Linked DNA regions of Arabidopsis thaliana. The protein of the gene in region 4 interacts with the protein of the main gene of each other region in a pairwise test. Each region holds a gene or a part of one and is shown on either strand. Other genes may lie near its edges.

The links.
Region 1: the proteins of RAP2.4 (region 4) and AT5G18037 interact in a two-hybrid assay, tested with the Arabidopsis thaliana proteins (one large-scale study listed by BioGRID).
Region 2: the proteins of RAP2.4 (region 4) and AT4G09100 interact in a two-hybrid assay, tested with the Arabidopsis thaliana proteins (one large-scale study listed by BioGRID).
Region 3: the proteins of RAP2.4 (region 4) and MBD02 interact in a two-hybrid assay, tested with the Arabidopsis thaliana proteins (one large-scale study listed by BioGRID).

Annotation. Positions count from the first base shown.
Region 1 is NC_003076.8:5,970,572-5,973,404, forward strand, and holds AT5G18037 (NAC (No Apical Meristem) domain transcriptional regulator superfamily protein), read right to left. Parts: upstream 996-2,833; 5' UTR 958-995; coding exon 742-957; 3' UTR 530-741; downstream 1-529. Other genes in the region: AT5G18040 (target of trans acting-siR480/255 protein), read left to right, coding at 2,385-2,481, 2,651-2,833.
Region 2 is NC_003075.7:5,809,119-5,812,364, forward strand, and holds AT4G09100 (RING/U-box superfamily protein), read left to right. Parts: upstream 1-1,996; 5' UTR 1,997-2,137; coding exon 2,138-2,536; 3' UTR 2,537-2,728; downstream 2,729-3,246.
Region 3 is NC_003076.8:13,522,901-13,527,386, forward strand, and holds MBD02 (methyl-CPG-binding domain protein 02), read right to left. Parts: upstream 2,899-4,486; 5' UTR 2,721-2,898; exon of another isoform or gene 2,376-2,720; 5' UTR 2,371-2,375; coding exon 1,925-2,370; intron 1,820-1,924; coding exon 1,766-1,819; intron 1,348-1,765; coding exon 1,190-1,347; intron 986-1,189; coding exon 825-985; 3' UTR 503-824; downstream 1-502. Other genes in the region: AT5G35320 (DBH-like monooxygenase), read left to right, coding at 1-244. UniProt on the Arabidopsis thaliana protein: Probable transcriptional regulator.
Region 4 is NC_003070.9:29,362,526-29,366,778, forward strand, and holds RAP2.4 (uncharacterized protein), read left to right. Parts: upstream 1-1,546; 5' UTR 1,547-2,264; coding exon 2,265-3,269; 3' UTR 3,270-3,682; downstream 3,683-4,253.

The DNA.
Region 1 (2,833 bases), on a different chromosome or scaffold from region 4:
TTTGGTCATTCTGTTCAAGAAAAAAGATATTTTTAAAAATAAATAATATAAAAGAGTATTATGGCAAAAAGGTAGTCAAAAAATATAGTTTTGCAAATCTCCCATTAATTTAACCAATTTCTTATCCATTTCGTAGGCCAAAGTTTCTCTTTTTCCTTCATAGGCATGGATGGGCCTGATCATTATTAATATCTCATATATTAGATGAGATAATCTCTTTGATCCTCAAAACAAGAAAATATTTTTTCGTTTGTGAAAACAAGAAGGTGAGCAGTTACAAACTCCTCATAAAAATAATGATCTACATGTCTTTAAATAAACAAGAATATACGAGATTTTCCTAAAGTTTTTATGAGGAATTTAAATAAATTATGCAAAGGGAAATATCAAACTAGACACAAAATTGAAGTAAAATAAGATAGAAGTAGAAGTTATTATCCTCTTCACTGAAAATTTACCAAGACACATAATCATGGTCCTTTAAGGTGGCAGAGAACTTGAACATGGAATAATGAGCCACCGTTTTCGAGATAGTATTCTGTCATGGTCCAACCACTGGCTTGTCTCTCACCTTTGACGTAGAAACTTAGACTTCTTCCCAATCACTGCACCGGTATCTTCCAACACGACATCACTCAACTTCCCATGGCCTTTCCAACATCCATCAACCGTCTCTCCTTTGACTTTGCGGCTGATGCGTTTTCCAGTAACGTTTTCAGAGAGATGATTCACTTTCACGAACTAGAACCATTCATTAGGTTCCAAAAAGTTAGTCTCGGTGTGAGACAACCGCCACGGCTCTTTGGCATAGATGTCAAACTTGTCTTCTAATTCAAATTCTTTATTTGATCTTTTGGTAACCTTAGGCCCGATATAACGGATGATGAGTTCTTGGGCAGAAGGATGAAACCAAAACCCAACATGTTCCTCTTTATCGTAGTACTTAACCATCGACATATTCTTTTCTTGTTCTATGAGACAAAGAAAACGCAAATCAGACAAAAAGTTAAGGATCTATATATTATAGCAATAATCCAAGGGGAACAACAAATGATCTTTAGAGCAAAACTGAAAAACAATAATAAACGCGTTGAAGACTTGAAACTTTCAGGTAGACAAATAGAAAAGGTGATTTCGTATATATATGTGGATTTTAAGGATTTTTAATATATTAGGAAAACGATTCTTTAAAAAGGAAATATATCCATGTAATTCAAAGCCAATATTCTTAAAATTAGATAAGTAAGCCAATATCACATTTTTTCTTTTCAAATTTGTAATGTTGGTTTTAGCGTATGATATTTTGTCTACTATTTTCTTTTTAAACTTATTTTGTCTTATATCTTTTTACAAACTAAAAAACAAGATTATTCTTTTACTTATCTAAATAATGTTCAAAGACTGGAAGATTTCTTGCTCTTCTGATATGGAGAGATACTTGTATTAGTACTTGAAGAAGCTTATGCCTCAAATATTTTCTTGCTCTCCAAAAAATGCATTGACATGATCGTGATCGGTTGCACAAAAAATGGTATCCACTCTCTAAACTTTTAGAACAAGTACTCTTTCAAGAAGAAAGAGAAAAAATCTATTTACAACGAATAAGTCGATGTCTAACTCGGAAAAACAAAATGTTGGATCATCATCATTGGAGCCTAAAAGAAAATTGTTGTTAAACTATAATTGTTGCCCTTAAATAAACAGGCAAAAACGATGTTGTTAAAAAGACTTTTAAAAACATTGGCAATGTCATAAAAACGGCAACGTTTTAAGGAAAGTTTCAAACGTCGTCGTCTTGAGGACTAAAGTTGAAGTCTTAAAAAGGCGACACGTTTCGGGACAAAGCTGAGGGGAAATCTTCGCGACGACTGTGAGAGTTTGTTTCGCGAACATTCTCTGAGTTTCTCTCGACGCGACGGCGATTGCGAATGTCTTCTCCTTCTGATTCTCGTCTCTCTGTGTCTCCGGTAATTTCTCTCAATTTTCTCTCTCTGTTGGATTCTTTTAGCTTGTTTTGGATTTGTTACCGATTCTACTCCGTGACTTGGCCTTTCTCAGTGCTATTAGTGAACAGAGATAAACTTTAGGGTTTGAACTTTTTTTTTTGGATGAATGATTTGAATCCTTTTTAACGTTAGAGTTGTTCTTTGTTAATGGAAGCTATCATTGTTACTTTGGTTTACTCTAAAGCTTCTTGTTCGACGATTTTTCCTCTGCAACTAGAAATGGTTGTGTTTATGTCAAAACTTGAAACCATGTTTATGGTTTTCGCTAGTTAGGTCTTGTTTTTGTTTTTCCTTTTGCCTTATCTGCTTGACTCTACTGGATTTCTGAATGTGTTCTTCTGCTGGATTCTACTTGAAACCAGGGATAAGTAATCGAAGATGAATATGATTCAGCGATTCATGCAATCTATGGCAAAGACGCGTGGCCTCTGTCATCCAGATTGCGTAAAAGCAAGTAGTGAGCAAGAAGATTACGGTAAATGAATCAAATCTTGTTCTAGAGAACATTACTTTATTCGCATCGTTAAGAGATACTGTGATTGATTTTAGCTGATAGTAGTTTACTCCCTTTTTAATATAGTCTAATCCTTTGAAAGAGTCATATGAATTGACTACAACATTTTCATTTTTTTTTTGTCTTGCAGATGCGTCTCAGCTCAGTATTTGGTGGATAATGCTGGGAAGGAAGACGACCAGGGAGAAATGGATGAACCAAGCTCTCAGTTCACTATCGAAAACTTGCATCAGTATATGGTGGAAAATGTCTGGAATAAGAGGTAAGATGTGCAGGGAGAGGGAGCAACCACTCACTGTCAAAGACTGCCTTG
Region 2 (3,246 bases), on a different chromosome or scaffold from region 4:
CCTTTATAACCAACTAATTTAAAGGAATCAACAAAACAAGGTATATATATATATATATATATATATATATTAAGATTCAGTGAGTATACTTGTTTTTATGATCGAGCTTTTGTGGAATAAGGATATGTAAATGTGGTCAGTTCAGAAGTGACTTACTTATTTTCTTAAAAAGATAAAATTTTCACAAATAGCATCATTTCAAGTTTTTTGGACAAAAATATCACTCAAATAAATATTTTATTTTTAATTATTAAAATTTATAAATAAGAAAATTCAAAAAATAAATAAATTTCAGACAATATTTCCCCCCAAAAATTTCCATCAAAATTATTTCCACCAAAAACTTTTATAAACAAATTTTCCCGAAAAAAAAAAAAGAAATTCACGAAAGATTTTATAAAATTCATGAAGGATTTAAGAAATTCATGAAGGGTTTCAAGAAATTCAGAATTAAACTTTTTTTTTTTTGTAACCCTTCCTTAATTTCATGATAATTTTTCATGAATTTTGTAAAATCTTTTCTGAATTTTGTGGAAACTTTCAAGGAAATTTAGGAAGACTTCTACAAAACTAAGGAAGGGTTTCACGAAAGATTTTTTTTTGTGAAATCCTTCTTGAATTTTGTAAAATCTTTCTTGAATTTCGTGAAATTTTTTCCAGTTTTCGTAGAATCCTTCCTAAATTTTCTTATGTGGAAAAAATTTGACGGAATGTTTTGACAAAAATTGTTTTTGGCGGGAAAGTTTTTACGGAATTTTTTTTGGCGGGAAAATTTGACAAAAAAAAATTCACGGAAAAATTTGAAAGATTTTTTTTTCACGGAAAACTTTGACTGATAATTTTTTTAATTAGGTGCTATTTTAGGAAGAAAATGTTTTGAGTGCTATTTGTAGATATTTTCAAATGAGGTGCTATTTTTGGAAGAAAATGTTTTGAGTGCTATTTGTAGATATTTTCAAATGAGGTGCTATTTTTGGAAGAAATTTTGTGTGCTAATTGTGTCAATCTTTTTTTTTTTGTTAACCGATATTAATTAGAGCTCAACAAAGTCAATTCACGTAAAATGTTGTTTACATATGTGATATATTGTGGTTCAATATAATTTTTTTTGTGCAAAATTATCCGTATTTATATTTGCACTATGAAATATTAAAGGTAAATAAAAACTTATGAATTCTTCTTTATTAATTCCTTCAAATATACTGAGAATAATAATTCTTGTAAACTAGAGAAATTTTAACATTAACCTATTTTTCTATTTTCTTTGGGAGTTTCCTATTAAGGTAACTTTAAGAATAGAAACTAGTTATGTATTTAAAACGATACAAACTAGGATATCTAAATTGTATTAAAAAGATTGTACATTCAAAATTTGTATACGAGATCTTCAAATTTTGTATATAAACATCGAATTATATAAAATATTTTTAATAACTAAAAAAAAATATTTGTATCTTTGGCGGTCAACTAAACCTTTTTTTATAGCATATATATATGATATATAAAGTTTCTTTATGATATAATTATCTATCTAACATTTAAGATTGTATTAAAGTTTCGAATTTTATGTCTACGTAATTTTGTTTCCTTTCATTTTATACACAATGTTGTATTGTTTGTACATGAATTCTTTTCAAAATAATTTTTTAGATATCATTCATATAAAATAGAGCTAATGAGATAATAAATTACCTTGAAGGCTTGAACATTGTCGAGACAAAAGTTGAAAACAGAAGGACAAAAGATCACTGTCAAATAATTATTAATACATCAGAAAAATAATTAAAAACGATAATATTGTTTTCAGTATTCACCTACACATAATATGAATATCATGTTTACATATTTCGACCTTTTTTGATCGGTTCTAATAATCTATATCTCAAAACTAACCAATCTCATCTAGATTCCGTCAAATTAAGTTTAGTCTATAATTACGAAACTAAAAAATATTAGCAAATGGGAAAGTGCTAGAGTCATTGCACTAGTTTATTATGTGAAACACGAAGAAACACGGTGGCGCGTAGAAATCACCTAGAAACTACGAAGAAGACGTGAACCCCACGTCTCTCTTTCTTCTTCTTCTTTCTCTATCTCTTCCCATTACAAAACTCAAGAAGATGTTAAAGTACGAAACATGTCATACTTCAAAAGAAACGAAGGAACAATTGTGTTTGCGTTTGCGAGCATCGGGTTCATAGCGTTTTATATCATTAATTACTACATTCGGCGATGCAGAAACCGTGCCGCAGCAGCCGGGGACATTGAGGAAGCTCGAATGAGTCCGAGGAGGCCACCGCGAGGACTTGACGCTGAAGCCATCAAGTCGTTTCCTTCATTCGTTTACACGGAAGCTAGAGGAATTGAGCCAGGAATAGGCGAGCTAGAATGTGTTGTGTGTTTGAATGAATTCAAAGACGATGAAACGCTGCGTTTGGTACCACCTTGTGTACATGTGTTTCATGCTGACTGTGTAGACATCTGGCTTTCTCATAGCTCCACATGTCCTATCTGTCGTGCTAAAGTAGTTCCTTAATACGAGTCTCTTAATTAGCCTTTTACTATGCATTTTGCGTTACATAGTTCTCCCTTTGTAAATAAATTATCTTTATAGTGTTGATATTTTACCAACCGTAATGATGATACTACTCCATGGAAGGAAATAATCTACAAAGGAATTGAGGCATATTGAATTATTCAATGTCATGATGATGATGATGAATTAGACTAGAAAATGACAAAAACATAGTTTATCTCTTTGGTTACTTGTTCATGTATTACACACTAAACACATCTATTTGGCTTTGGAGAGGGACCACCTATCATGCTGTGTACAACAAATATGTATATATGTAAGTTACAAGTTAATGAAACGTTCGGATATATAGTTATATACCATACTTTGAAGGCTTTAATTAGTTACTCATATGATGTAAACATTTGTTATGGTGCGAATAATCTAGCACCAAATACATAAACCTTATTGGTCCGTCACATTCCATTGAGAGGACGTGAACATCAGAGGGATGTGACTGACCAATAAGGATTAGGTCAAAACTGTTGGAAAAGTCTTGTTGCGTAGATCAACAAGTTAATAGAGAGGGCATGAGTAATGTAGTACTTGTTCTACGTCTATAGTGACGTAAAGACTTCTTCAAAAGTCAAAACGTTAGAGGAAGAAGCCAAATCAATCATTCCGACCAAAACTAATCTAACTAAACATAGTAGTAATACAATATGTATTGT
Region 3 (4,486 bases), on a different chromosome or scaffold from region 4:
GCGGACACTAGAGATTACTGAGTTGGATGAGACAGGTGAGGATGTGGTAATGGATGATGCATCCAATGAGATAGAAGAGGATACTGGAAGCACCAGTCTATCTTTCCCTCAGCAAGGACAGCAGCAAGAGCAAGAGCACACCTATGGTTTTGGCTTGCATCCGTGGCAGCAAGCGCAAAACTGTATGATTCCGCAGCTTCCTCAAGTCAGTACTACTCCCACTCCCATCACTTGGTTCCGATGATACGGCTTAACCACGGGAAAACTGAATAGGGAATGCACGAAGCAGGATAGTAGAAGGCAGATTTGTTGTTAGTTTTTGTTTCTGCCTTTTGCGCAGATTAGAGATATGGCATAGTTTTGTTGTTGTATGTTTACCAAACTAATAGCTTCAGCCATATCTCCCCTAGGATGGTTTTGACTTTCGAATGTTATCTTTTGGATGTCGTTAAAATATCCTTTGAGATAAACTACGTTCCAACTTAACATGCACATCTACAGTTAAACAGACTCTGATCTATTCTTATCTGCTTTCTTGTGTCAGTCCTCTAGTGGATTTGTGAGATAATGGAATTTGGTAATAATCAAACTTTAGGTTTAAAAACTTTCAGCATGAAAATCCAGTTATTTGGAAGCAAAAACCAAAAGGACCCATCTTCTTCATAGAAAGTATGTTACACTGCAAAACAAAATAGATGGTATACACAAAAAACAAGCTAACCACATGCTTTCAGTTTCTTCGATAAGACAAACCCAAAAAACGAAGAAAGAAGACGGGTTATATACCAGAGAAGACGAGATAAGTTCACTCTCGTCTAGCTAGATTATCTATCAGCAAGTTCGTCGTTGGAGCCAAAGATTGATAGCGTCGATGTTTTTTTCTTTTTCGATGGTTGGTAATGTGAATTGTTAAGTCCAGACTCGGTTGGCGTACCTAGCTGCAACGATATATGATCATCTGGAGATATCCATGCCAGTGGATTAGCTGAAAAATAACAAGACAAGCGAAATGTTAGAAACTTGTAAAAGCATAGACGTTTTCATGTTAATAAAGTTCCCTAAAGACACCAATGTTCGGTTCGAGTATACGTCAAATACACTCTTGACTGAAAAAATGACATCAATAATCTAAAGCCTTGATACAAAAGATAACCACAATTATATTTATGTGCCTTGATAAGCAACACACCTTCTTTAGCTACAGGGGTGTTTGTATTATCGATGGAATCCAGTAGTCGAGCTGGGCGCTTCCTCACGTAGTCATCCTGCAGCGGTTTCGGGATTTGAAACGAGAACTGTGAAAGTTTCACCCCTTCTCCAATGTATTCGGAGTTGTCATTCAAGTACCTGCAAACCAGTAATAGTGGTTATAAGGGTGTAAAGAAGCTAGCTATACGTCACTGAAAACAATTTGGTAATCACTAAACGAATTGGTAAGTCACTAAGCTTTTTTCTCCTACCATTGTTGTCACTCTCAAATGCTGCAGGGAAGTATCATGGAAATAAGGATGATAGTTTAACTAACTTCTTGGCATAGTACATTTTCGTTAGTAAACAAAACACATGCAAGGATTTCTGTAATTTGCATAAGTGCCTAACTCTAGTTATGACCACAGAACAATACTTGAGGTTCCTACTGATTCAATATATTGGTTGACGAAAATGGTAAGACTGATACAGTGAGACCTCATCAAACATAAAAGTAAGGAACACTTTGTTAAATGTGAAAACGAAAATGTGGAAATGGAGTGGTAGAGAAACTAACTTTTGGACCTCCACAGTTGATCGAAGCTTCTTTCCAGACGGAGCAACATAATAACTGAAACAACCAAGATAAAAGAATGATAAAGAAAGCCAATACAATGGTATAAAGAAGAAAGACTAATATTAACATAAATGAGAGAAGAGTTAACGAACGACATACACATCAGCAAATCTGGTACCTCCTTCACCTCTAATCCGCAGTAAACGTTGCCAGCCAGCGGGTGGACGAGAGATATTCGGTTTATCAATAGCCCAAAGACGAGTTCCATCTTGATAGATATCAGCAGGAACATCACAAGAAATATCCGGCTTCCACTCACGCGCTGTATCGCAGAAAAACGGGTTTTCAAGAAGCTGTTCCCTAATCTCTTCATACTTCTGCATTGAAGGCATGAGTCTCCATTTGAAACAACTTGCACACTGAACCGTAAATGCCCCGATAGAGGGACACTGTGTTCTAGATGACAAAGGCTGAGATTGAACCGGTAGAACTTCTTCTTCAGTATCATCATTTCCTTTCAAGTCATAAACCACTAACTGATTCTCACCTCTATCCTCATTAGGTGAAGACGATCTTTGGACAGCTCGAGACTGCGACATACTCATAGAAACTACCTATAATAAATGGTTAGAGAAATGAATGTCAAGTGAAAACAAAAATGACAAATTTAGTTAACAAGAATCATTCATCACAATAACACTAGTCTCTCTATTAACATCATAAGAGAACATGATCAAGAAAACATTGATACGTGTAAAGAACAGTGAACAGTAGAAACCCTCGAACATTTCAATCTCAAAAATCAACAATAATCATAAAACAGAGCAAAGGAAACAACAATTATCATATAATCAAAGAAGAACATGAGCTGATAGAGACGAGATCCAAAAAAAAAACAATTTCATCGAAAAGCCGAAACAAAGATTAAAAATTTATCAAGAAGAAGAATCGTTACACGAAGAGGACGAGAGCAAACCAGGGTTTCAGAGATCGGTGAGCGAAGAAGGCTCTAAAGATCGTTGTGGTTAATTTGAGAATTTCATTTTTTGAGACAGAGCCAATTCAGACAACACTCTTTGTCTAGATAGAAAATGGGGAAACCGAGAAAGAGAAGAGAGAAAGAAACTGAATTTAATTTATTTTGTATAAATATAAAATTTGTTGTTACGAAAATAATTCTTAATTTACATTCACTTCAAAATATATCATGCTATAAGTAGGAGAATATTTGTGCTTTTGGGCTTATAAACAAATCTTACCATTAATCAAAATTTCCTTCAGAAAAAAAGAATCAAAGGATAATTCTTTCTAATATTAGATATGGATTCGTGTTGTGCATGCTAAATAGATGAAATATGTCTAACAAATATTTGCCATTGTTTAACAAATATTTTGAGACTTCCATAATATGTAAATTAAACTTTAATAAAAACAAATATATGTCAATTGTTGATTTTTTTTTTTTGGGTCAAAATATATGTCAATTGTTGATATAAAATATTAGGCCTGCGACTTCGGGTAAACCGAACCGAACCGAGTCGGTTATTTCGGGTTTCGGTTATTTTGGATTTTTGAAAATTCTTCCGAAACTAACCGAAATTTATTACGGTTCGGTTCGATTCGGATATTGGTTTCTTTGGTTTTTAAGTTTAAAACCCGAAAATAACCGATTCTTTTTTTTTTATTTTTTTTTAACATTAACAGATATACTTTATTAGAGGGATGATGTGTAATCCTATGGAGGATTTGTACAAGAAACAGAGGTACATAAGAATGAGAGACAAAAGTAACAATGTTTTCTAACTCCACTTTAGCTAATCGATCAGCTGCTTTGTTAGTTGACCGGAAAGACCATTTGATAATGGCAGTAGAAAACTTCTTCCGCCAATGTTGTATCTCCATGACGAGGTTATGAAGTTCAAAATTCCTTGTGTTCCCATTGAGTAAGCTTTCCACAGTCCTATTATCACCTTCAAATATAATCTTTCGATATCCTCTACTCCATGTATGTTGCATTGCCATCAAGAGAGCCTGTAGTTCCGCTTCTAGCACTGAGTTGCATAGTTGTCTTGTACCTTGAGCCGCAAGTAGATAACTGCCTGTGTCAATTCGTAAAATCCAACCAGCCTTTGGTGCTAGATCATTCCTTGAGAAACTGCAGTCATAATTGCATTTGATAAAGCCGTGAATAGGTTTTTGCTACCCTTGCCCGCTTCTGTCATTTAGACTTCGTCGTTGTGTGTCTCGCTGCAGAGGAATCCACTCATATGAGTCTGTTATCGCTTTTTGTACATCATCTTGCCAATTACTCCCTTTTCGCTGGTAAACTAACAAATTCCTGCTCTTCCATATGTGCCACAACATCCATAAAGGTATTTGTCTTGTGATATGGTCTTGTCTCGTATCAGTACAGCATTGAAGGATTAATCTGAATTTATCTTCAAAAGGTAAGTGTGGATTGAAAAACGCTGTATGTGACACCGGAGAGCCCCTCCAAATAGCTTGAACATAATGGCATCCAAAGAATAGGCGTTCTAATGTTTCAGGAGCTGCACAACATCGTTTACACTGTGAATCTGAAATGATATGTCGTCGTGTCAAGGCCTCGCCTGTCGCCAATGATTGAGTTACTATCCGCCACATGAAGTGCTTTAGTTTTGGTGTCGTGTCTAGCTTCCATACTACTCTCTTAAACTCGGGTAAACCTGGTGGGGGAACATA
Region 4 (4,253 bases):
TAAGATAGTAAAAGTCATATCATGTGAATAATAAGAAGTACAATGTTGAAGGCTATGGTAAAATAGTACAAAACAAGTGAAGGATATGGTGTGAAGATAGGTTTTAACGATTGGGAGAAATTACTTAACTTATTTCGTAGAAAAATGATTTGTCAAAAGAATGTGTTATTCTTAAAGAGTTTTGGTTAAACTTTCAAAAAAAAGAATGATGGGAATGGGATCACTCATAGTTTCTACTAATGGTAACAATTCTTGAACAAAAAAGAAGAATTTATTACAATTTTGGATGCTTTTAAGTTTTTGAACAGAAAATATAGGAAAAATAAATGAAACTAGAGCCTAAAAGTCAGCAAGTTTATGTAGTCATGATTATAACCATTAACCAATAAGAGTATGAGACCAATAAAAGAGAGATGATTAAAACACAGAACCTAGCTAAGCAATAACAAACAAACAAATAAGCAAAATGGTCTGTGAACTGTGAAGTGTGAACACGAACCGGATCGGTCAACAAAATCAGGTATGACTATTTACTCCACAAAGCACAAATAATATGAAGACACGTGTTTTTGAATTATGTATTCCTATTTGTATAATACACGCGTCATTCACTCATTAGCTGCATGTCATTTTTCTCATCCGCTCGCAGGTAGGAAAAATACAGTGTACCTCGCGCCGATTATATGAATTTATCAGCCTCATCATAATTCATAAATAATAAATAGACGAAATGAAACAATTCTGGAATAGAAATATGCTGATCTAAACAAAATGGATGATTATAAAAATATATAAACAATTTTAAGAAAATTTGGTGGATACTTTTCTTATTTTTGAAAAATTTCATGAAAAGAGAGAATGTAAAAATAGACTTGTTATCTTACAATTGTTTTCTACATTGCGCTACATAAAAAATTAAGAGTACATAATATATTTCGTTTGAACATTTATTCCTTTTATAAAATTATGTTAATGTAGTCATGTTTCTAAATTAAATTAACAAAATGTTAATGTAGATTAAATATCTTACTTTTTTTTGAAATTTCAATTAGTTTCCAAAATATAAATATTTCTATATATAGTATAAAATAATTCATAATCAAATCCTAATTGAAAAGAAGTAAAGATTATTTTAACAAAAAAGGGGTTTGACATTAGAGGGTAAAGACGATAACTTTAACGACAAGTTTTAGGTGGATTAAAAAAAGAAAAGTTAGGTTGTATCATTAAATATTCCATATGCATCATTTTAAGAGGTGTTTAAAATTTTAAACACAAATTTAAAGAAAAACACGATATTTTTATTTAATTTACTATTTTATATAAAACGCCAGAAAATAAAATAAATACAAGTATTCAACTAATAAAAACATATTATAAAATATGATTGGTCAGAAAAAAGTAAAGTGAAAGATCGCTAAAACATCACTTAAAGTAATTCTGAGGAAGTATTAGTATTTATGGTAATCATTTATCATTACATATTTTTTTTACTAACACAGTCTAATATTATTTTTTCTAACACTACTACAGTTTTATTTACTGTCAAAAAGTTTTTACCATCTTGTGTGTCATCAAACAAATCTACTCGCTTAGGTATTTTGAAATATAAAATTGCCTAAGAAACGGAAAATATCGTTGGAAAAAACCCGGAAAATATGAAAATAGTGTGAGGAGACTACACCCACTATATAAACAAGAGCCAAGCAGGTGAGGTTAGTTCATCGGTGAGGTTGAGAGTAATTCACTACACACACACAAAAAATAAATTGAGTGCCTCCCCCAAAAACAAAATTGGTAGATAACGAGCAATTGTTTTTTTTCAGATTTGATCCTGAATTTTTACATTTTTTTTTTTGCAATCTCCCCCTAATCTGTTGTTTCTCGCTTCTTCTTCTGTTAATCATCTGTCTTTCAAAAAGAAAGAAAAAAGAAAAATTCGATTTCTGGGTTTGTTTTTGTCATACAGAAAAAAATCAAGCTTATGAATTTGTGTTTAATTTTTTGTTTTAATTTGAAAGGCAGGTTTTTTCAGAACGAGATCGTTTTTTCAAATTTCTTCTGATTTTACCTCTTTTTTTCTTCTTAGATTTTAGTGAATCGAGGGTGAAATTTTTGATTCCCTCTTTTCGGATCTACACAGAGGTTGCTTATTTCAAACCTTTTAGATCCATTTTTTTTTAATTTTCTCGGAAAAATCCCTGTTTCTTTACTTTTTTATAAGTCTCAGGTTCAATTTTTTCGGATTCAAATTTTTATTTTAAATGGCAGCTGCTATGAATTTGTACACTTGTAGCAGATCGTTTCAAGACTCTGGTGGTGAACTCATGGACGCGCTTGTACCTTTTATCAAAAGCGTTTCCGATTCTCCTTCTTCTTCTTCTGCAGCGTCTGCGTCTGCGTTTCTTCACCCCTCTGCGTTTTCTCTCCCTCCTCTCCCCGGTTATTACCCGGATTCAACGTTCTTGACCCAACCGTTTTCATACGGGTCGGATCTTCAACAAACCGGGTCATTAATCGGACTCAACAACCTCTCTTCTTCTCAGATCCACCAGATCCAGTCTCAGATCCATCATCCTCTTCCTCCGACGCATCACAACAACAACAACTCTTTCTCGAATCTTCTCAGCCCAAAGCCGTTACTGATGAAGCAATCTGGAGTCGCTGGATCTTGTTTCGCTTACGGTTCAGGTGTTCCTTCGAAGCCGACGAAGCTTTACAGAGGTGTGAGGCAACGTCACTGGGGAAAATGGGTGGCTGAGATCCGTTTGCCGAGAAATCGGACTCGTCTCTGGCTTGGGACTTTTGACACGGCGGAGGAAGCTGCGTTGGCCTATGATAAGGCGGCGTACAAGCTGCGCGGCGATTTCGCCCGGCTTAACTTCCCTAACCTACGTCATAACGGATCTCACATCGGAGGCGATTTCGGTGAATATAAACCTCTTCACTCCTCAGTCGACGCTAAGCTTGAAGCTATTTGTAAAAGCATGGCGGAGACTCAGAAACAGGACAAATCGACGAAATCATCGAAGAAACGTGAGAAGAAGGTTTCGTCGCCAGATCTATCGGAGAAAGTGAAGGCGGAGGAGAATTCGGTTTCGATCGGTGGATCTCCACCGGTGACGGAGTTTGAAGAGTCCACCGCTGGATCTTCGCCGTTGTCGGACTTGACGTTCGCTGACCCGGAGGAGCCGCCGCAGTGGAACGAGACGTTCTCGTTGGAGAAGTATCCGTCGTACGAGATCGATTGGGATTCGATTCTAGCTTAGGGGCAAAATAGGAAATTCAGCCGCTTGCAATGGAGTTTTTGTGAAATTGCATGACTGGCCCAAGAGTAATTAATTAAATATGGATTAGTGTTAAATTTCGTATGTTAATATTTGTATTATGGTTTGTATTAGTCTCTCTGTGTCGGTCCAGCTTGCGGTTTTTTGTCAGGCTCGACCATGCCACAGTTTTCATTTTATGTAATCTTTTTTTCTTTTGTCTTATGTAATTTGTAGCTTCAGTTTCTTCATCTATAATGCAATTTTATTATGATTATGTAATTGACAAGGCCATAACATTTTGATTACGATAAACCATGATCATGTTTAAGAAGATGACTTAACAAATGTAATCTAAGAACTTGAAGATTGGATTTGTAGTTTGGTGAATGAAGAATAGTTAAATGTATCACCAAGTAGTTTTTTTTTTTTTTTTTTTTGACATATGAAACCAATTAACAAGTCTTCACCTACCTAAATTGGTATTATGATATTAACACCTTCTATTACAATTCTAATGAAGCACGTCTCTTTGAGAGTATCGTCGTCATATGTTTTAACGTTTTCGTAATCTGTCAATCCGTCTAAAGTTTTGATTCGTCGAGATAAAATCGGAAAGTCGATTTGATATTGATTGACAATTTATATTACCTCTAAATAAATCATGTTGTAGTCGGATTGATAGAAGAATCAAGTAGTATGTATAGTAACGTTCTAGTCATAATTTACATGTGGCAGAACGGGTTTGTTCCACTAAAAAATTGTTATGTTTTCAAAATGTTTATATATGTGGAATTTTCATCTATGAATGTTTGTAACGCATTTACATGATATTACTCATTTGCTAACACGTCAACAGTCAACTTGTTCTTCATGTTAACATTTGTTGGATCTTTCTCGCACGTTCTCAACTTTGTTGTATAAGAAATCATTATCAAACATATATATATTTCTTGTCCGTTTTATTATCACTAATGGTGAAAACTT